Tamandua tetradactyla: one gene and its partners. The protein of the gene in region 2 purifies or fractionates together with the protein of the main gene of each other region. This does not show direct contact. Links are inferred from orthologs where the notes say so. Each region holds a gene or a part of one and is shown on either strand. Other genes may lie near its edges.

Region 1 (7,243 bases), on a different chromosome or scaffold from region 2:
GCCATAAGCCTTATATGCTATCTCACTGAAAACTCACAGTTACCTTGCAGGGTAGTACTACATTTCACAGATGAGGTTTAGAAAGGTTATTTGTCCAAAAATAATTTACCAAAGTGCATGTAAATTTACCAAAGTCTAAGTGATGCACAGCTGAAATGCTGAGCTGAGAATGCTACCCAGGAAGGTAGCATTACCATCAGATTAAAATCTTTACTTTCTGAATTGTAACATACTCTGAACACATTCCCTCTGTCTAGAATGCCCCAACTCCCCACCTTTCATGGCTGCTTGCTAAACTATTATCCATTCTTAAAGTTGTAGCTCTAACATAACCCCTTCAGAGAGCATTTCTCAATCTCTCCAGTCGAACTTGATCAATCTTTCAGAAGCCAGTCTTCTGTACCTTCTTCATGACCTTTAACGGACTCTGCCTTGGATATTTTATGTACAAATGTCATATCAACAGTATTATACTCTAAGCTCTTCCATGAAATCTCCATCTTCTATGTCACCTAATTCATATACTGGCATTCAAAAAATGCTATCTGAATGAATAAATGAGTGCCTGAATGAATAAAATGGAACTCATAGTATTAATTAAGCATAATATAAATCACCTTCTGAGCTAAGAAACTATTACCATTTGAATATTTTCTAAGGGACAATTAGCTTATAACATGTACAGAATCAAAGAATCTAGTATCGTAGGAGCCCTTGTTGGTTACCTACTTTAATCTTCTATCCAGTTATTTCATTCAGGAACTCTAGAAATCCTAAAGCAGCATGCATTTTGCAAAGATTTAAAATATTTATTGAGTACTTACTATGTGTGTGTGTGGAGGGAGGGAGGACAAAATGGACACAGCAAAATACAAGACATTTCTGCTTTCAAAGAGCTTAAATTCTAGTAAGATGGGTGGTCAAAAAGGAAGCAAATAAATTAATAAGACCCTAACAGATCGTGACAAGGGCTGTGGGAGCAATAATCAGGGTACAAAGAAGGAGAATACCTGTGGAAGGCTACCTTAGATCTGAAACTCAAGGAGTGACTCTGAGTTGAGACCTGAAGGAATAGAAGAATGAGTTGAGACCTGAAGGAAAACAAGAAATCAGCCACAAGGGCCATGGAAGTACATTCTAGGCAGAAGGAATAACAAAGGCTTAAGATTAGAAATGTCTTAGCATGTTAGAGGAACAGCAAGTTGGCCAATAAATAAAGAGAATCCCTGGCAAGGAGAAAAGAGAGGAAGCAGCACCCAAATCATGTAGGGTCTTGTAGGCTGTGCTAAGAAATTTAAATTTTATGCCAAGAGCAATGGGAAGCCATAGAGGTTTTGATGTAGGAACAGGAAACGTGTGGATTTCTTTTAAGGATCATTTTGGCAGCTGGGTGCAGAACCCACTGCAGGGAAGCAGAAAGACCAGTGAAGAGGTAACAGCAGCCACGCACCTGCAAGTCGATAGTGGCCTGCACAAGAACTGTGCCAACAAAATTAAAAGGACAGACGAGATAAATTTCTGAGGTTGAACTGACAGGACTTGTGCATGTAAGAAAAAGAACGGTTTGCTTTACCAAGACAGTAAAGGGGTCATTTATTGAGATGGCAAAAACTGGGGAAAGGTCAGAGGTTTTAAAGGGGGAAAATCAAGAGCGTTGCTTTGTCTATGTTAAACATCAGACAATATCCACTTGAAAAAATCGTGTTGGAACTACCTGGGTGAGATTTAGCTGAAGATGCTACTCTGGGAGTTAGCACACCACACCACTCCACATCGCGGTCCGTCTCCTGGGGGCTCATAAAATAACTGCAATGCCTTTTCCTCATTCAGCCCTTAGCAAAGGAGAGGAGGCTGGACTTTACCCTGTGGGCACTGCTAAGCAGGAATGAGACTACGCTGGGGAGCTCGTGGTCAGATGGGACTCCAAAGAAGTTGCTCTGGCCGCATCCTTCCTCGCGTGAGGGACAAAGGCGTGCAGGGATGCCGGACGGTGAGGGGCCGGCAGCGACATAGCGGCCCGGCAAGGCTCCGCCTGCCTCCGTCTGGGCATTGAACAGCATCCTCCCCCACCCCGGCTCCTGCACTGCGGGCCTGCCTCTCAGCCCCCTCAGTATCTGTCCCCTCGCTCTCTCACCTGCCTCCTTCCTCTCGCTCCGGGCCTGGTTCTTGCCTTTAGCCTTCCGGCCGCGCAGCTCGCGTCGCTGCGGCTCCGGAGAGCCAGCGCCTTTCCGTCCCATGGCCGAGAGAGATTCGCCTTGCGAGTGACGCACCACACCGCGGTAAGCGGTCGCGGCACGCGAGCCGCCCCAGTGGGGCAAGGCATAGTCACGCCCCTCCACCACGGCCAAGCCACACCCTCAGAGGAAGGTCCGCCTCGGCCCCGGCAGCCAGTGTAAATTGCGTAGGCAGAGAGACGGAACCAAACAGATACTTTCTACTTCCGGTGCTTTTGCGTTCTCACGTTTCCGGAGGCGTGGGAAGGCACGTATGATCTCGCGATAGGAGAGAAAGGGCGCAGGGTTTGAAACATGGCGGACGACGTGGATCAGGTGAGTGCGTTTTGGTCTAAAGCGGCTTCCCCCGCGCTCCCAGTCCTGGCCCTTCTCGACTTGCCAGGGCTGCCTTCTCTAAGCTCACGGGAAAGTGTCCTTACGAACCACCTCTTTCTGGCCCACTAAGGCTTAATCTGTCTCCTTCCCCTTGTAACCGCATCCCCTTCCAGTTTTGCTTCAGGCCCTCAGTTCTGTCCTGTTCAAAGCCCGCGCGCCTAACAGCGATTCCTGACTCTCATCACTTCCCTTCTCTTGTCTGTAGATAATGAGAATAATTTTCCGTGTCTGCCTCGTGGAGCTGTCAGGATTCTGATAGAAAGTGTGGCAAAAAAATTGAGTTAGTGACGTTATTACTCAGCGTAGTATAATAATTATCCACTCATTCAACCAATACGTAGTGTGTATCAGCTGTCGGTGACTAGACATTACTCTAGGCACCAGGGACAGACATAATCCCATTACCACGTGGAGCTTATATTCTATTGGGGCAAGGCATACACGTGTGAGATACATAGGAATTGTGACGTGGTATGAAGGAAACAGACAAGGGACCGGGTACGGAGACCTTACAGGGTTTTTCGCCTGCTCTTCTTCCCCAAATACTCTTTCTGATGAATGTCGGGCCACAACTTATTCAGTTTTTCCACTCAAATCTCACCTCATCAAAGAGGATTTCCCTGGCCACCTACATCAAATAGTACCACCACCACCCCAGTCTGCTTACCTTGTTTAATTTCGTCATAGTATGTCATTCTTTATTTATTTTATTTTATTTTTTTCATTTTAAGTATGTGCTACTTTGTATAACAGCTGTCTTCCCTGCGAGAGCAGGAATTTTGTTTTGCTTACTGTTCTACCATCAGGGTTTATAACAGTGCTGGAAACACCATATATTTATGAATGAATGTATTGGATGATCAGGAGACCTCTTTGGAAAGGCAACATTTAAGGTTATAGGTTGAAAAGGGTAGAGAATGGGCATCTCAGACTGAGTCTAAAGTAGCAGCAGGATTCTGTCATGTGTATATTCTTATAGAACTATAATTGTTTATTTATATGCCTCTCTCCTAATTGGGCTGAACTCCTTAAGGACAGGTGCCTTATATTCTATGAAATTGTAGCTTGTCCAGCTCTTTAACGAACACTTGTTGAACTGGAATAGTGAGAGAGTCACCAGTTGAGGTCAGGACTTTTTTTTTCTCATTGATCTGAAGGACAGGTAGAGCCTGTGCTGGAGTCATGATTGTTCTCACTGAAAACTCTTTCCTTGGACAATCTTATCAAGTTTCATGGCTTTAATCCTCCCTTCCATATGGATGGCCCCGAGGTGATCCTAGCCCTGACATCTCTGAAACTTCAGACCTATGTTACCAACAGTTATTTAATATTTGTATTTAATATTTGTATTAATATTTAATATTTGTATATGTATAATATTAATTATTAATATAACTATTTTAAGTGCTTTCTGTTTGCCAGGTTTTACTTTAAATATATTGGCTCATTTAATCTTCTCAAGAAACCTTAAGGAAAGGTTGTGGCATCCTCATTTTACAGATAAGGAAGCAAAAAATTAGATTTGTTATCTCAGTTTGTACAGGTCAAAGCTGGGATTTGAACCCAGACTGCCTTGCTCCAAATCCAGTGCTTTTAACCAGTAGTCTATACTTTCTACTACCTATTTTCATCTTACTGTCCATTTGGCACCTTGAACTCAATCTTCCTTGTGGTGGATTCATAATCTTCCCTCAGACTTTAACGAACATCCCTCCCTAGCATCCTGACTGGTTTGTGGTAGGCACTAAGTGAATGTTTTACAAATGATTAAATGATATTTGAGATAAGGCTAAAGTCTCAGAAAGTGGCTCCGTTTACCCTGAAATTGGGTCAGGCAGTTTATTATTTTGAGGGAACAAGGTCTCACTGACTTTGGTATAGCCATGATTATTTTGCTGTGTAACTCCTTTCTTTGTGTATATGTTTTCTCTCATTTATATAGCACTTATGTGCCAGGCACTGTTCTGAGCCTTCATATAGGTCATTTAAGCCTCGCAACAACAGTATGAATAGGTACTGTTAATCCCCGTTTTACAAATTAGGAGATTGAGGCATACAGAGACTAAGTAACTTGCCCATGGTCACATAGCAGAGCAGTGATTGGAACATTACACTATTCCTAGTATTATGCTACTGTTTCCTCAATCAGCAACAAACTACCAACACCGTAGAGGAGCCCCTGGATCTCATCAGGCTCAGCCTGGATGAGCGAATTTACGTGAAAATGAGAAACGACCGAGAGCTTCGAGGCAGATTACATGTAAGTTTATTAAATTATCTTGAAATTAGACTACTTCTGTATCATCCCTCCCTTTCCCCACCCCCTTGAAATGTAGAAAGTATCCAATGTGCAAGAATATTTTGAAACATGGAAGAGGGGGAGTTAGAAAGTCACCCATATTTCTACAAGCCAAATATAACTATTTTATATATGTTAACACTTTTTTCTCTTTACAGAAATGTGTTTATTATGAAATGTTTTCACTCCCTTCATTTTTTCCTTGTGATTATTTGTAAATTACATTTGTCCTCCATTCTTATTTAATTTTTAAAAAATTACTGCTGCATAAATGTGTTTTGTAAAAAAAATTAGACAACACAGATATATATAGTGTAACAGATGAAATCCTATTTTCCTCTATTGGTAACCACTGCTAAAAATTGGATCTGTATTCTTTCAGATATTTTTTTGAATAGTTACACATATATATTCATGTGTGTGTGTCCAGATACATTTATTTTGCACTATATATCCCATCCTTAAAAAAATAAATGGGATCCCGCTATAAATATTTTTGTCACCTTAATCTTTCTTGGAATTCCTTGATCATGAGTGCATACAAATCTCTTTTATTCTTTTTAATGACTACATAGGATTCTGTATACAGTAGTGATCTATAGGTCGTTTTCCATTTTTTGCCGTTGTATATCATGCTGCAGTAAGCATTTTTATACATATTTCTGTGCGCATATATACAACTATTCCTATAGGATTGGTCCCTTTTATTCTAAAATATGTATTTTTTACTACTTCCATTCTACCCTGTGGTGATTAAAAATGGCTAACACTGGGTGATGCAGTCGTGGCTCAATGACAGAATTCTCTCCTGCCGTGTCGGAGACCCAGGTTTGATTCCCAGAGCCTGCCCATGCCAAAAAAAAAAAGGCTAATATTTATTGAGCATGCCAGGCACTATTATTCTGAATGCTTTATGTGTACTATATAAAGTACATATATATATATATATCATCTTTATAACAGTCCTCTGAGGGTAGTATCTGTCCCATTTTATGGTTGGGGGAGCTCAGGCTCAGAGAAAGGTGGAGTTACTTGCTTAAGGTGGCAAAGCCTACAAAGGGAGAGTCAAAATATGAACACAGACATTCATAGACACCTATTACCAAAACTTTTCCATCTCCCCAAACAGAAACCCTGCACCCGTTGTACTTTAATTCCCCGTTTGCCTTTCCTCCTCAACCCCTGGCATCCTGTGCTCTATTTTCTGTCTCTATGAAAAGACTACACCATTTTACATTACCACCTACAGTGTTCTGGGGTCCATATTTCTCTACGTCCTCCCGGCCAGTACTTTTTATTTGCTGTTTTTTTTTAAAAGCCATTTTTAGTGAGTGTGAAGTGATATCTCATTGTGATTTTTATTCACATTCCCTAGGGGCTAATAATGTTGAGCATTTTTTCATGTGTTTATCTGCCATTTGTTTATCGTCTTTGGAGAAATACCTTTCTCCAAAATCCAAGCAGCAGGGAGCGATTATCTGGGTTATTTATATTATCCTTGGTTATGACTGATTTGTTATTCCCTTATGTTAAATTCTTAATTACAGGTATTTTATATTTCAGCTCTAGAATTTCAATATGATTTTTTGTAGACTCCAATACTTTTGTAAAATTACTTCACCTTTGTTTTCATGTTACTCCCCTCTTCCTCTATATTTTGAACATATCAATCACAGTTTATGGTTAAAAAACAAAAAGTAAACCTTTCTCCAAAGTTCTTTGCCCATTTCTTAATTGGGTTGTCTTTTTATTGTTGTCAGTTTTAGGTTTGGTTGTTTTGTTTTTAAATTTTTTTAATTGTATAATATAACATATATACAGAGCAAAGAAATAAAACAATAGTTTTCAAAGTACTCCTCGACAAGTGGCTACAAGACAGATCCCAGAGTTTGTCATGGGTTACCATACAATCCTCTTATATTTTTCCTCCTAGTTGCTCCAGAATATAGGAGGCAAAAGGCTTATATACTTTTTTATCATCACAATTGACTTTTTTCCTTCTTTTTTTTTTTTCTGTGAACAATAACATATAAACAAAAACAAATTTTAGGGTTTTTTTTATCTCGTTAGTGTGTCGTCTCTGGTATATTCCCCGTGTGACTTATTTGCTACTTTTCTTTTTATGTTAGCTGGTGAACCACTTTGCACTTTGGTAGAAATAAGGGTAAGTGGGTTCCACATAAAGCCCCAGAAGGGTCATCTTTTAGTAAAATGCTAACTTTTGAATGGATTGAGTACATCCCTGAATATCTCAGTTGCAGCATTTATTGATTGAGCCTGCAGATCCCAAACACAATTAAGTTCTGGATAAGCTTGGGGATTGCTCCATTTAACT
Region 2 (7,408 bases):
ACAGTCCCCCAAGGTCACCAGGCTGGAAGACCCAGTTCCCTTCCTTCAGGCAACAAAGTATCAGATATTTGATAAGCAGCCAACAATCCTCCCATACAAATGTAAGAGAAGGTATTTATATGCAAGCACAGAGAAGAATGACTTCTTTCTTTCTGGCTTTTAACCAGCTTAGCCAGCAGAAAGACTAACTTTAAATTCTGAATTAAGAAGCAAATCCACAAAGGAAACATCTCTACCCACCTCCAAATACCTTTACAGAAAAACTACATTCACTTCTATTTTCTTTTAGCACGGGCAGGCTCTGGGAATCCAACTCCACAGCAGGTAAGAATTCTGTCATTGAGCCCACCGGTGCACCGCCCTACATCTATTTATTTATTTGTTTTTTTGCATGGGCTGGCACGGGGAATCAAACACGGATCTCTAGCATGGCAGGCGAGAACTCTGCCTGCTGAGCCAATGTGGCCCGCCCCCTACATTTACTTATAAGAGGGAATTTCTTTCACCTTATAAATATCTGGAATGAGGGCCCAGAATGTTACAGCTTAACTGAAACAGGTAACTCAAGTTACCTTCCTCAGAGAAGCCTTTCAGGACTCCCTCCTTCAGAGCCAACCCTCCTCTTCCTCAACATTTTGGGCTTGCTGCCAACACACTGGCTGTAGGCAGATATTCTCTCTGTCCTTCTCACAACAGGGATCTCTGGTTGTCTGGCGAAGACTATGGGCATCCGTTTGTGGCAGTAACATCTTCAAAGCACAATAAATATAATGCAGAGGCTCACAAGGGTAAGCAATTATACTGAGATAATCATCAAATCATTTAAGAAGTATTTTGGAGATACAGTAACACATGATCTCTAAAGCATTATATAACAAACTTGTACCTGTCTGATAATTACAGTAAATTTGAAGTAGGAATGAGAGTAAATGATATTTTGAAGATTTCCAACAACTATAAAATGATAATATCTGTAATTACTACTGGTGACAAAAATCACTGGTACTATTTATATGTCTTTGCTTTGCTGCTTATATTCATAACTGCAGAAAAGAATACCTTTATCTAGAGTTTAGTGAAAACAGAGCTGAAAAATTCATGGACTTCTTGAGTTCCACCCACCATTTCATAGAACCTTGGCCAAGAACCCAGGCAGTAGGAGAGGGAACTTCACAAAAGCAAACTCCCCATATATTTGCAATAAAGTTCAAAGCCCTTTAGTGGTAAATTCTGGTTTTCCAATGATAGGCCCATATTCTTCTCAGTCCTCACTTTACCACTCCCCACTTCCATGAATAAATGACTCCTAATCAAGTGCTCACATTAGTTGGGACCCCTTGGGGTTGCCAGCTTTTATCAGCTGGCATACACCCCTGCACAGCAGTAATGCTTATTTACCAGCTGTATTCCCTTTAACTAACGGCAAAGTCCCAAAGGCAGAGTTTGCACTGTGTCCCTAGTACCAAAAACAGTGCCTGGAATGAAACTGTGTATAATAGGTGCTCAACAAATGTGTACTGAATGCAAAGCACAGCTTCCAGGTACTGAGCTAGGTATGCCCTGAGGATACCAAGATAACCAGATAATCTTAAGTACCGGCACTTTAGAAAATTCAGGGAGGGCTATTTGATCATTCTTGGAACACTTTCCTGTCTCATTATAGAAAGAGAAAATCAAGAGGTACCTTGATGCTGAGTAACAAACAGCATTATATGGGAGACGGGGAGGATCTGGGCAGGTGAGAATTACACACAGACACCAGCAAACTGCAGGACGGAGGAGGCAGGAAGGCCCCTCCACTGAACAGGAGACTTCAGACACACTGCCTCAAAGCACACCCCCAAATCGTCATCTCAGAAGTCTCAGGGAGGATGGGACGGGGTTCCCCACTCTGTCAGAAAGCCCAGAGAAGGAATTTCCCGCCCCACTCGACTCAAATCAGATGGCTGTCAAGGCATCAAAAGGACAGTCTGGGAAGTTTGGGGAAAATGCTTTTTTCAAAGCATAAATGAGGCAAAAAGGGAATGCACTATGTAGAAACGACACCGACTTTTATATAGTTTTGCATAAACTTCTTTAAATTGAGGGTGAGTGGGTGTTTTTAAATATAGGTAAAAAATAGGTTATTAAAAAAATCCCCACAAGCCAGTAGTCACCACCAATGTAGGTCAAAAACCTTCCAGCACAAGGCAGATCAAAATCAGACTAGCGTCAAAAGATGCTGCACGCCTTTCCCCCCAAGGAGAGTGATGATAAAATAACAAGAACTCCTCTAACACCCCCAAAAAAGAATTAAAGCTGCTCCTTATTGTTATCTTTTTTTTTTTTTCATGGGCAGGCACCAGGAATCGAATCCGGGTCTTCGGCATGGCAGGCGACAACCCTGCCACTGAGCCACCGTGGCCCGCCCTGCTCCTTTTTAAAATGCAAAAAACACCAGTTACAGATCCTATTTTCCGAGTTTTTTCTGCAGAGCCTTCCGGGGGGGGGGCCCACGGGCAGGCCACCGAGTGCACAGTGACTGCAGCGGCGACCGCGGCCCAGCTGGAGGGGTCCAAGCGGTCGGGCCCACCCGGCCCATTCCGAGAGCCCCCGCCCTCCTTCCCCCCCAAGCCCTTCCCTAAATCTCACAAGGCGGGGCCGCTGCAGGGGCCGCTGCGGAGGTCGCGCGCGGGGAGCCTGAGGCAGCCCTGGTCCCCGCTCGGCACAAAGCGGCCCGCGCCACCCAGTGAGCAACCGAGGCCTCCGGGCCCTTCCCGCACCTGCACCATTATGGCCATCCGGAGCGAATCCTTGGGGATACTTTCGCCGCATTTCTTGCAGGAGGCGCGCCCGCTCTTGGCGTACTCGACTCGGTAAAGCTTGTCCGAGGCCTCCGCCATCCTCCTCCCTGGGCCGCCGCAGCGCCTCGGGACCGCAAGACCACAGGGGCCTCCTCCTCGCCCGCCACGCGGACGACAGCCCCCCCAGCTCCTGCAGGCGTCGGAATGCGCCGCTCCGGGATAGATTGCTCACGCCTGGCCACGGGACCGCCCTTGGCGCCCGCGCGCCCGCCCACCAGCCCCTGCTGGCGTCCGAGCGCGCCGCTCCGGGATAGATTGTTGATGCCTGGCCGCGGGAACGCCCCCGGCGCCCGCGCGCCCGCCCACCATCTCCAACAGGCGTCCGAGGGCGCTGCTCCGGGATAGATTGCTGACGCCTGGCCGCGGGAACGCCCCCAGCGCGTGTGCCCGCGGCCGGCCTCGAGGGCGGGCCCTTCTCGGCGAAGGGTTTACGGGCTTTGGGGGCTCTGGCGGCCGTTTAGTCTCCCTCTGAAGGGTAAATTGCTACCCCTTTAACCGTTTAGTTGCTAGGCAGGCGTAGTTGCTGTTGCACCGCTATTTAAACTCCCCAGCCATCTTTCTGCGTTCCCGCTCTTTTCGGAGAGCCGCCTGCTCGGGAACGCGGCTCACCTGCCGAGGGCTGGCCAGTGAGCTGCGAGGTTGACCCTCCCTGGCCCGTGGGACTCACTTGGAGTCCGCAGACCGCTGGAACAGGGTCCTAACTGAAACTTAGCGTTTCCTCTACTATGAATTTTGAAGCATGAATACAAATCCTAGGAATATTAGCAGAATCCGTGATTTGACTCACCAATAGTCACCACAAATACTTCGTATCACTTTACAGTTCGAGATAAATCAAAATATTATTAAGCTCAGAATATTATTGCCGTGGTTATTAGGCCGGCTAGCTCTAGATCTTCTTATTTAATGTAGGACTATATTTTTACCTAGCGACCAAATTAAAAAGACGTGCATTGTGCTTCTGGGTCGACAGCAAGGCTGTCCCTAAATGGTCACCCAGTAGCGTTCTCTTCCTTTTCTGGCTCCCACGAGCTCTGCTCAAGAAATACACATAATACCTATGTCTGTTCAGCAAGCTAAATGCAGTGTTACACCTGTGACCAGACACCCTCAGCTCTGGTGATTGGAACCCCACCATCAGCCCGGGCAGGCTGACATGGGAGGGAGGGAAAGAGAAAGTGTATGGTCCTTCTGCCTAGCCTGTACCGAATCTCATCTGTGTTATGCACCCCATCTGGTCCCCTTTGATTTAAACTGTTTTAAACTGATTTAATAAACAGTAATTCAAGCATTTTAATTTAACTGTGGGGTTTCTGTTTTGTGACTCCTGGGATAGCGTGCCTGATCGTATGTCTGGAGGCTACCATTACATTAAGGTGATTCCCTACCCACAGTTGATTCTGAGAAGAAGTTAGTAGCCTTCACTGGACCTCCAAAATGTCCTGAGTGTGCACACATGCAAACAAGGTTAAGAATCTGTGCCCTAGTGCACTTTTCCAACACTTTGCTGCCTCCTTTACTGCCTGTTCTAGTTTGCTAGCTGCCGGAATGCAACACGCCAGAGACGGATTGGCTTTTAATAAAAGGGGATTTATTTTGTTGGTTCTTCAGAGGAAAGGCAGCTAACTTTCCACTGAGGTTCTTTCTTACGTGGAAGGCACAGGATGGTCTCTGCTGGTCTTCTCTCCAGGCCCCTGGGTTCCAACAACTTTGCCCAGGGTGATTTCTTTCTCCATCCCCAAGGGCCTGAGCTGAGCTGCAAGTGCTGAGATGAGGAATGCCAAGCTGCTAGACTGTGCTACATTGCGTTCTCTCATTTAAGCACAAGCCAATTAAGTTAAACGTCACTCATTGCAGCAGACACGCCTCCTAGCCGACTGCGGATGTAATTAGCAACAGATGAGATTCACCTACAATTGGCTCATGTCCACAGCAACAGAACTAGGTGCTTTCACCTGGCCAAGTTGACAACTGAATCTAACTACCACACTGCCTCTCAAGTTAAAAATTTTTTTGGTACTTATATCTCTATCAAGAGTAGGAAAACCAAAAGCAGGTGGAGAGGATAGCAGTATGTGTCTTACGCCTGGGCTTCTTCCCTTCTTTCCTTTATCAGCCTGGTACCCTAGGCGATTTGAATTTGCCAATCCTGGCCTAAAGCTTAAAAGACTAAATTCCTTGTGATGGCTTATGTGCTGGTTTGAAAGGATGTGTGCCCCCTAGAAAAGCCATGTTTTAATCAAAATCCCATTTCATCAAAGTAGAGTAATCCCTGTTCAATACTGTATGTTTGAAACTGTGATTGGATCATCTCCCCGGATGATGTGATTTAGTCAAGAGTGGTTGTTAAACTGGATTAGGTGACGACATGTCTCCACCCATTTGGGTGGGTCTTGATTGGTTTACTAGAGTCCTATAAAAGAGGAAACATTTTGGAGAAAAAGATTCCAGATGAGAGAGAAACTCTGACTGTGCTCGCCATGTACCTTTCCACTTGAGAAAGAAACCCTGAACTTCATTGGCCTTCCTGACCAAGGTATCTTTCCCTGGGTACCTTAGATTGGACATTTCTATGGACTTGTTTTAATTGGGACATTTTCTCGGCCTTAGAACTGTAAACCAGCAACTTATTAAATTCCCCTTTTTGAAAGCCATTCTGATTCTGGTATATTGCATTCCAGCAGCTAGCAAACCAGAACAGCTTATAACTCCCCTCAGTATCCTTTCCACCCTCATCTCTCAGCACTCCAGTCACACCAAATTACTTTCCATTCACATGAACTCTTCCACATCTCCTTAACTTTGCACATGTTTTTTCTGTCTTGATAAAATACCTGTTCCCTTTCCCTTCACTTGGCAGCTCTGATTTGTCTCTCAAGATCTGGTTCACCTGCCACTATCTACCCCGCCGCCCCTCCCAGCAGAGCTGTCTCCCTCCTCCTTGGTCCTGCCAAGGCTGCTGTTGGGACATCTGCTCTGGAGTTCCTCCCACCAACCTGTAGCAGCGTGCCAGGCGGTGAGCACATGAGAGCAGAAACTACCTGCTGATCTCTACATCCTCTACATCTAGTTCCTGCTGATAGTACACATTTAGTATTAATATTTGAATGAATACTCTTCAAATTAAATCTACAAAATGAAAGAACCAAACTTGAACCTAGGTCCTATGTTTCCAATTCCAGGCTTCTATGGGACAGGAGCTTTGATTATATTGGTGCACATGCCTGCTTCAGTGTTTATCTAATCCTCTCCTCCCTCCACCTCCCCTTCCCACCCATCCCCTCCCCTTTCCCTTTCCCTCTTTTTTCCTTTTGGGACAGAATCAGTCAGAGCACTCTGAGCTCACTAGCAACATTTATGTTTTAAATTACATCCTTTTCACGCACTGTTTTCATTTTCAAATAAGAAAATGGAAATATGGAGAGATTAAATGATCTCTCCCAGTGTTAAAGTCTCTCAGTATTAGAGGCAAGATGAGAGGCTGAGCCTCTGCCTTTTTCCCCCTCAGTTTCCAGAGCCTCCCCTTAAATCACGCTCTCCAGCCTTCTTGTCCTCAGAGCTGAGCCCCGTGGCTGCTTTGCCCCTTCCTAGTACTTGAGCTGGTTGTGCGGGGGTCTGATCCTGAGGAGGGTTAAGCCCTTCCTTGACTAAGGCGGGATGGTTCAACCTTTCTTCTTGTGCCAGCTCAACGCCTGGCATTTAGTTGGTCGCTGGTAAAAGTTTTATTAAGTCCCTGTTTTCCAACCATCCTGAATTTTTTCTGAATTTCTTAGGAGTCTATTGCTCTCAGTTTTTGTCCAGCTCAAAAGAAACTCCAGTTTCTGATGAGGTGTGACGTGGGGGCTGAGCAGGAGCCTTGAAATGTGTGCCCATGACTATCACATTCTCTTGGCACCTCCCAAGGCACCTCACAGAATCCCAGAGCTCAAACCCTGTTGTTGGTGGTGTGTGTGTGTGCAGGGATGTGTGTGTGTGTGTGTGTGTGTGTGTGTGTGTGTGTGTGAGAGAGAGAGAGAGAGGCAGAGACAGGGCCGAGACACTGCACTCAAAGGTACTTATTGTGATTTTCCTCTTATAAAACTAAACAAACAAACGAAAACAAGCCAAAAAAATCAAACAGCACAGGCATAAATAGAATAAAGAGTGAAAACCTTCCTTCCCCAACCCCTCCCCATCCCCAAACCCCAGAGGGGATCAGTGTTTATAATTTGTCCTATATCCAGTCGGATTCTTTCACTAAACATTATACACACATACAGACTTTGAGATCACATTATGTACATATTGCCCTCTAAGAAGTTTGTTCCTTAATATCCCAGAGTTATCTATTACTGTCAGAATGTAGAGGACATTTCATTCCTTTTTAAAAACGCATGCAATTTCATAATGTGGCTGTGCTATATGTTTTTATTTGCTTGTAGGGATGATAATGTTATTTACTTTTGTTTTATCTACATTGAGTTTTCGTATTTCACATGGGATACACAAATAGATCCTTTTTTTGTAAAAGCTTGAGACTTGGTTGTCCAACATAGGAGCCACTAGTTACATGCGGCTACTGAGCA
Region 3 (7,022 bases), on a different chromosome or scaffold from region 2:
CAAAAATCTCACTGACTATATGTGTTGGGAGACAGCATCTAAATCCACATCACTCTGACATAAAAGCCCACACTGATAACCACTTCACTGTATTATCTCCCATAAAATTAAACCAGCTTACAGTCATTTATACATATTATGGACAAAAAGATGCTCACATAAACTGATTCAGTACTAAAAGTGAGCATCAAATCTTAACATGGACTTGTAAGGTGAAATCATCTTTTTAATAAACTTCTAATGCATAAAAGAATACAATTTTTCAATAAAATATGATGTTTTCTCCCTTCCTTTACTATACTTCCCATGTCCCCTATAACCAGTTTTATAATGACGACATACCATTATGAATAAAGCCAAAATTTACCTCCCAAGTTTTAAAGATGACTAAAGTCTGAAATGTCTAAACTTTTAGTAATCTTTTATAATTTCAAAAACATATGGAGGAGACTTAGAGCTAAAAGTCTTCATTAGATCAAAATCATATTCTCCTTCCCTTGCCAGATTGTTTAGCATATCCAAAATTCCATGTTTTAATCTGCTCAACTAGACCTGTATACTTAACTTCCAGAATTGTTTTTTTCATTTCCACCACAGTCCTTGAGTTTTCTACTATAATTTGGGTCTTTTTGCAAAGCCTGATTACATGAGAAAAATGCTTTCTGGTCCTCTAAGAAATAAAAGTTATTCAGTAGATTATTTGAAAACAAGATTTTTAAAGTTCAATAGAAAATAAGATTTGCAAGTGATACATCTTAAGTAATTTCTGCCAGCAACCAATCTTAATCATGGAAAATGAAAAATGCATCTCAAGTTCTAGTTTTACCACTGAAAATTACGGAATTATAATCAAAGGCAATATGAAATAGTCTGTTAACACTTCATTATAATTACCATCAACTAAACCATATAAAACACACTTCTCTATCTCTCAAGAGATCCAACCAAATTATAAATTCAATATACAAAGAATTTAAAGATAACTACAGTAGACTGCAAAGGCATATGAATAGCAACCATTAGTTTTAACACAAATTCTGACACTCATTTTTACTTACAGGTAGCCAATGGTAACAGATACTCCCAAATAGATGGAAAAATAAATACTTTGCCAACTACTGATCTGTCCATATAAAAGATTAATATCCTGATTTAAACTAATTTTTCAAGATAGTTTATTTAATGAAAGACACAAATACCAAGATTAAAAAAAAAAGCATGTACCGATTTATTCTATCAATAAGTCCATTTTAGTTTCAAATGTATTTTTCTAACATTGAATGAAACCCTCCAACTTTTGCTAAATTTCTTATGGAAATGAAAGAAAAGTTTCCTACAGAGCTCAAAAAAAAATATGGTCATGTAATTATCTACAAAGTTAAATAACAGTAAATTAAAACGTTGCTATGAAATGTTAAAAGAAACAAATTTAATTTTAGAGTAAACTGTTTATCAATATAGAATCAAAGTTCCTCAATGGAAACACCAATGATGTATTAACATTTCCAAATAATGAATAAGAACTCACAATATCAGCTGGTGATCTAATAGCATTTTCAAATGTCATTTGATTTTAGTAACAAGGGTAAGGTGCCACTAATCTAAAAAATCTTTCGTTCTAATTTATGCATTGTCCCCACCCTTACCCCTTGCATGTACACATGGACTACTAATTTATTAACTACTTATCTTTCCAGGCTCTAGTCCATTCGTACTGCATTACTGGAGTACTATCATTAACAAAATTCGCAGAGATTTAATTAAAAGCCTAGCAGTTATTTTGCAAGGCGCCTTGGCACACATATTTTTCTGCTATCAACACGTTCGTTTTTCTGTTTTGTTTTTACCAGAACGGATGCTTGTAGATGCAGCATAATCCCTATCCAATTCCCCTAAACCTCACCCAAGCAAAGAGAAAAGCAAGAGCGATTTAAAAAAAAAAAAAAAAAAAGAGGTGGGAGGAGATATCAAAGTCCTTGAAAAATGTAACGCTTTTTTTCCCCCCCTGGGTATCTAATCTGTCGGCTGAGCTGGGGTTTTGTGAGTGTGTGTGTGTATAGGAAATGACCCTGGTCTGAACTCCAAGCCGAGATGCCAATGAATTATCGAGATGCCAATGAATTATCGAGATGCCAATGAATTATCGATCTGCCGTGGGAGTTAGGTTCCTCCAGGTCTTCCTTGAGCCACTTCTATCTCCCAGCAGGGCTGAGCGCCTCCAGGACTTGGCACTTCGTCTCCTCTCCAGCACACTCCCTTCAGCCCCCACCCGGTTTCACCTGAGATGCTGACGTAGGTAAACGCTTCTTTTGATAATCCCGTCCTGACAGAGGGATGATCTACGGTATATTAACTACTGTGAAACAGCCATCCCCAATGCACTCTCATTCGAATGACACTTTTCGAATGGAAGTGTAAACTGCTCTTGGACGTCTTCCCCGCCAAATCCATTCTTCTGCTGAGAGCATCAGAAATGGTTGCATTTAGAAGGCGTGCGCGCGCACACACCCCTTTCCCTGGGATTTTAAGTCACATTTGGAGAAAGTGCTGACCCACACAGACACAGAGGCATTTTCCCCATCCACTTCATCTCACGCCCGACTGCTCTGGAAGAGTCTGGGGGAGAGGAAAAAAGAGGAAGTGGGGATTCTATGACATGTTCATGGCTTGTCCCCCAAAGTTTCTACGGCACCTTACGCTCCTGCAGCCAGAGCCTCCATAGAGGAAAAGAAAAGAAAGAAAAGGGGCGGGGGTTCTGCCGGCAGAAGCCCGACTGGACGCGGGTTTGGGAGACGGGATTTCCCTCTTCCCCCTCCCCCACACCGCGCCCCGCCAGTCCCACGGAATTCCACCCCCGCCGCCGCCCGCGAACAATGCGGCGGCCCGGACCCTGGCCCCCAGTCGCCCGTCACTCACCACCCAGGTCAGCGCCCCATTGCCGCCACCGCCGCCTGCGCCGGCTCCCGCGCCACCGCCTCCCGACTTGGCCATGGCGGGTGCCTCCTGCTCACAGGCCCCGAGGACGCGGCCGCCGCTGCCGCCTTCCTGAGGTCCGCCGGACCCCGCTGCTCCGCACCGGCCACTCGACTCGCCGCGCTCCTAGCGGCGCCGGCCCCAGCGCCCCATCGCCGAGACCCGGGGCAGACGCCGGGCCGAGCCCGCCAAAGAGGCCGCGCCGCCCGGCGCCCTCAAACTCGAGTCGCGGTGGCCGCGTCGCCCGGGCCTAGCGCCGCTGCTGAGGAGGAAGAAGGAGGGGGAGGCCGGCGGTGGCTGAGCAGCGGCGCTGCCTCCTCGCCTGCTCGCGGGCGCCGCAGCAAGCGGGTCGGAGGCTCCCGGGGGCGAGCAGCGAGGATAGCCGGCAAGCCTGGGGCGTTCGGACGTGGCGAGGACACCGAGGTGCCTTGTCCTTCCTCACAATCCGCGAAGACTGGCCGCTCGGGTCGCCGCAGTCGCCACCGCCTCTGCCTCGAAGATGGCCTTTGTCGGCCGCGCTGCAGCCCCGACTTCCTCACATCCACACGCCAAAAGGGACAATAAACAGAGCCGCCGCCGCCGTCACGGTCGCCTCCCTCTTGTCCGGCATAGCACCGCGCACACACACATTCGCACACCCGGGAGGGAGGGAGGGAGGGCGCGGCGGCCGCCCCCGCTGTCAGTCAGCACCTGGTCACCCAATCAGGGCCTTGTCGCCACAGCCTCTCGGCCAATCCCAAAATTCCAAGCCCCCGGCGGGGCGGGACCCGAGGGGGAAACGTCATTGCGGGTAGCAACCGAGTGGAAGAATTGGGGTTTTTTGTTTGTGTGTGTGTCTGTGGGTTTTCCATTTTAGGGGGAGCAAGGGCTGCTGTCAAGGGTCATTTGAGGGCAGCAAAGGGAAAGGGTCGAATTGTACTCGGGTCAATTGTATTCAGCCGAGCGTGCTATTTACTCTGAGTCGCCTGCGAAACCAAGGCGTTTTTTTTTTGCCAGGGGTGGCTGGGGGCGGGGGTGGGGAGTGGAGGGAAGGGAGCAGGAAGGAGGCGAGGGCTGTCCCAAAGGGAAAGTATTTTTAGACAGCGGTTTTAAACCGCTGGCAAGAACGTTATAGACCACTGGTGCAAGGAGGGCCCCGTGACCCTGGCCTCTCCAAGGCCCCAAATGGACGCTGTCAAAACAAACAGACAAACAAAAAAACCTCTGCTCAGGCCCTGTCCCTCCTCGCGTCTAAAAGAGGACCCCGTTAGTCGCAAGAAAACTGCACTTAAAAAACTTAAATGAGTAGGAACTCACTGAGAACATTCCAGGGAAAGAATGCAGGTGGGGTATGTCTTCTGTTTCAACTCTTTGTTGAGCTCTGTCCTCTAAACACGACAGAGATGTCACTGTCACTTTTCTTTCATAGCTACTCTGAGCTGTCCCAGAGACCTCTAGGAGGGCACGCTTAATTTTTTAAGCTCCTTTCCAGTAGAATTTTAAAATACATGCTGAGGAATAATTCCATTCACTTTAAAGCTTTCTAAGAGTGAGTGACCCATACAGCTGCAGCAGAGTCCTTGGCAGATGGAAGATGGCTCTGCTTCATCTTCTTTTCAGTGTAATTCCATTCAGTAAGTATTTATTGGGCACATCCTCTGAAATCCTGGGCCAGGCTCTGCTATGGGATCAAAATAAAAACACAGCCCCCCATTTCAAGTCATTTATGATCTGGCTGGAGAGATACTTGAAAGGAGTTAACTGTCTTAAGGTAATATATAAGATGTGTACTTGAGGGCATGAAGTGGCACCAAAAAGTTGTGACAAGCACTTCTTAAGAAGAGAAATACAGTATGTTTTGTGGAAAGGTGTTTCTTATGAACGTCTCTTCCAAATGTGCATTTCCTCTCAGGGGAAAACAAAAATGTCTGGGGTCACATCTTTCGACTTCCTTCTGAGTCCAGAGGTAGGGAACTCTGAAACATGGAAACAATTTAAACGTATTTCTTCTTAATTAGCTCTCTGGTGGCCAAGTAATTTTGGTACATTGTGACTTTGATTCAGACACTAACGCCTTTCTTTACCTTGAACTTGGTGCAAGCTTGAAATTCAGACAGACCAGAGTCTAATCTGGGCCCTGAACTTGAGCAGCTAAATAACCATGGGTTTATTTAACTTCCCTGGGGGCTTGGTTTACTCCTCGTTAAAATGAGTATTTTTACTCTCATACTTACTGTAACTTTACATCGCCAAAGTACACGTATAACATAATTTTTAAAATGGGTGGATAATGTTAAAAGGTGTAAGTTTTTTCTAACAATATATGCAATTAAGTAGAAACCTTTTTGAAACTTCAGATTTCAAAGCTCTTGAGCTTCAGAGTTTGAAGAGAAAATATATTCAAAAATCAGATAGGCTAGTTGATGAAAATAATGTTCATTTTTTTCATTTGCATCATAGGTGAGGCATTACAGTATCCCTAAATATCAAGAAACCATCTGGTAAGTGTTACTAGTTTTATTGTTGTGGAAAATACAGACTTACTTAATTGGATCACAAACAAAAGAATTGTTGAATACATGCAACTCAATATTTTAAAGCAAAAATAACACGATTAATGGGGGAAAGTATCTGCAACAAATGTATCTCAGCACCTAAAGAACTGTTGATCTTTTTAACTATGTGAGGTAGACTTACCACGACTTTTATGATAAAATGGATTGTAGCTCACTTGAGCACAGCTTTACCTTCTGGGGTATTGTGAAGTAATTTTCATTTACAAAGTAATTGTAGCAACTGTAGCAATAATTGCTACAAGCTTCAATGTCAGGTTTGTATTGTTTGGGTTACTATCATATTTATCTTAGTATATATATACATACACACACACACACACACACACACCATATGCTAATATAATAGTATTCATATACATTATTATATGTTTTTATAGACCTATTTTTACCCCATAGAAAAGCACCTGTCAAAATGAAAAATTGTAGAAATCAGTCCATTCCATAAACTATAAAATTAAAGGCCTTTAATCAAGCTAATCCTAACTCCTTCAGAATTTTTATTTTTAGACCTTACGTTTACCTAATGTAACAAAGATATTCATTAAATGTTTACTGTGTGTTAGGTACTTAGGACCTGGAGAGTCAAAAAGGTGATAAAGATGTAATCTCTGCCTTGGCTACATACCTTATATATTTTTTAGCTAGTCTTTCAGTTCCAAAAGCAATTTTATGTTCAATTATTTGCTATTTAATAAGCAGTTCACCTGATAGGACTCACATCTGTCATTCATTGCACTTTAAATGCAGTAGGTGACAATCAACAAATAAGTTATCTGAGAAAATAACTATACTTCTAGGTATCTGGCAAAGTTCCCGTAAAGTTTCCACTGAAACCATGTATTGTTCCAACACTAAGATTTAGCTGGCGTCAGGGGTGGGGGACCCTAATCTTTAACCCATCGAACATTTAAAGTTAATATTTTAATCCAAAATTCAATGTCTGCAATTTTAACTCGCTCTTTCTCTCATTGTGTTAGTATTCATTGGTCCTAAATATATACAAAGTTGCTATGCTTAGAATAAGAAGAGAAATTCACAACTGTCCTACAAGAAAATTCAATAAATGTTGTCCAGATAGTGACAGGTAAGAACTCTGCCACTGAGCCACCATTGCACTACCATAGTTTTACTTTTAAAAGGTACTTAACACCAAAAATAACAAGCCTGTGTGGATGGCTGAAGACATCAGTGGTAGCCCCACTCCTCAGTATTCCCACCATTGGGAAGATGGACAAAGGCTAACGCTTTTCATTTTTTACCTACAATACCTGTGGGCTGTTTGTTTTGCTTGACTTCTTTGGTTTCCAGGAATTTGTTTTGATTAGTTTCGGCCAAGTAAGCTATACTGATCCTCTGGTAACAACTCTAGTTATTTGTATGGACTTTGAAACATTTTCACTTATTTTACATGATATAGATTAGCAATAATATTCAGAGTTCTGAACTGATTTACTGGGTTATATAATGGGGAGAATAAAATGACCATATGCCTTT

What was found.
Region 1: the proteins of PARP1 (region 2) and XPC purify together in Homo sapiens (affinity purification with mass spectrometry; 4 studies listed by BioGRID and IntAct, counting the BioPlex papers as one, with this or other methods). This does not show direct contact. The link is inferred for Tamandua tetradactyla from reciprocal best matches to the Homo sapiens genes PARP1 and XPC.
Region 3: the proteins of PARP1 (region 2) and TOP2B purify together in Homo sapiens (affinity purification with western blotting; 3 studies listed by BioGRID and IntAct, with this or other methods). This does not show direct contact. The link is inferred for Tamandua tetradactyla from reciprocal best matches to the Homo sapiens genes PARP1 and TOP2B.

What each region holds. Positions count from the first base shown.
Region 1 is NC_135335.1:33,961,034-33,968,276, forward strand, and holds the start of XPC (DNA repair protein complementing XP-C cells), read right to left. Parts: upstream 3,023-7,243; 5' UTR 2,550-3,022; coding exon of another isoform or gene 2,529-2,549; 5' UTR 2,238-2,528; coding exon 2,135-2,237; intron 1-2,134. Other genes in the region: U6 snRNA-associated Sm-like protein LSm3, read left to right, coding at 2,529-2,549, 4,759-4,869. UniProt on the Homo sapiens protein: Involved in global genome nucleotide excision repair (GG-NER) by acting as damage sensing and DNA-binding factor component of the XPC complex. Has only a low DNA repair activity by itself which is stimulated by RAD23B and RAD23A.
Region 2 is NC_135333.1:20,187,094-20,194,501, reverse strand, and holds the start of PARP1 (poly [ADP-ribose] polymerase 1), read right to left. Parts: upstream 3,012-7,408; 5' UTR 2,883-3,011; coding exon 2,763-2,882; intron 1-2,762. UniProt on the Homo sapiens protein: Poly-ADP-ribosyltransferase that mediates poly-ADP-ribosylation of proteins and plays a key role in DNA repair.
Region 3 is NC_135341.1:62,454,556-62,461,577, reverse strand, and holds the start of TOP2B (DNA topoisomerase 2-beta), read right to left. Parts: upstream 3,023-7,022; 5' UTR 2,992-3,022; coding exon 2,917-2,991; intron 1-2,916. UniProt on the Homo sapiens protein: Key decatenating enzyme that alters DNA topology by binding to two double-stranded DNA molecules, generating a double-stranded break in one of the strands, passing the intact strand through the broken strand, and religating the broken strand.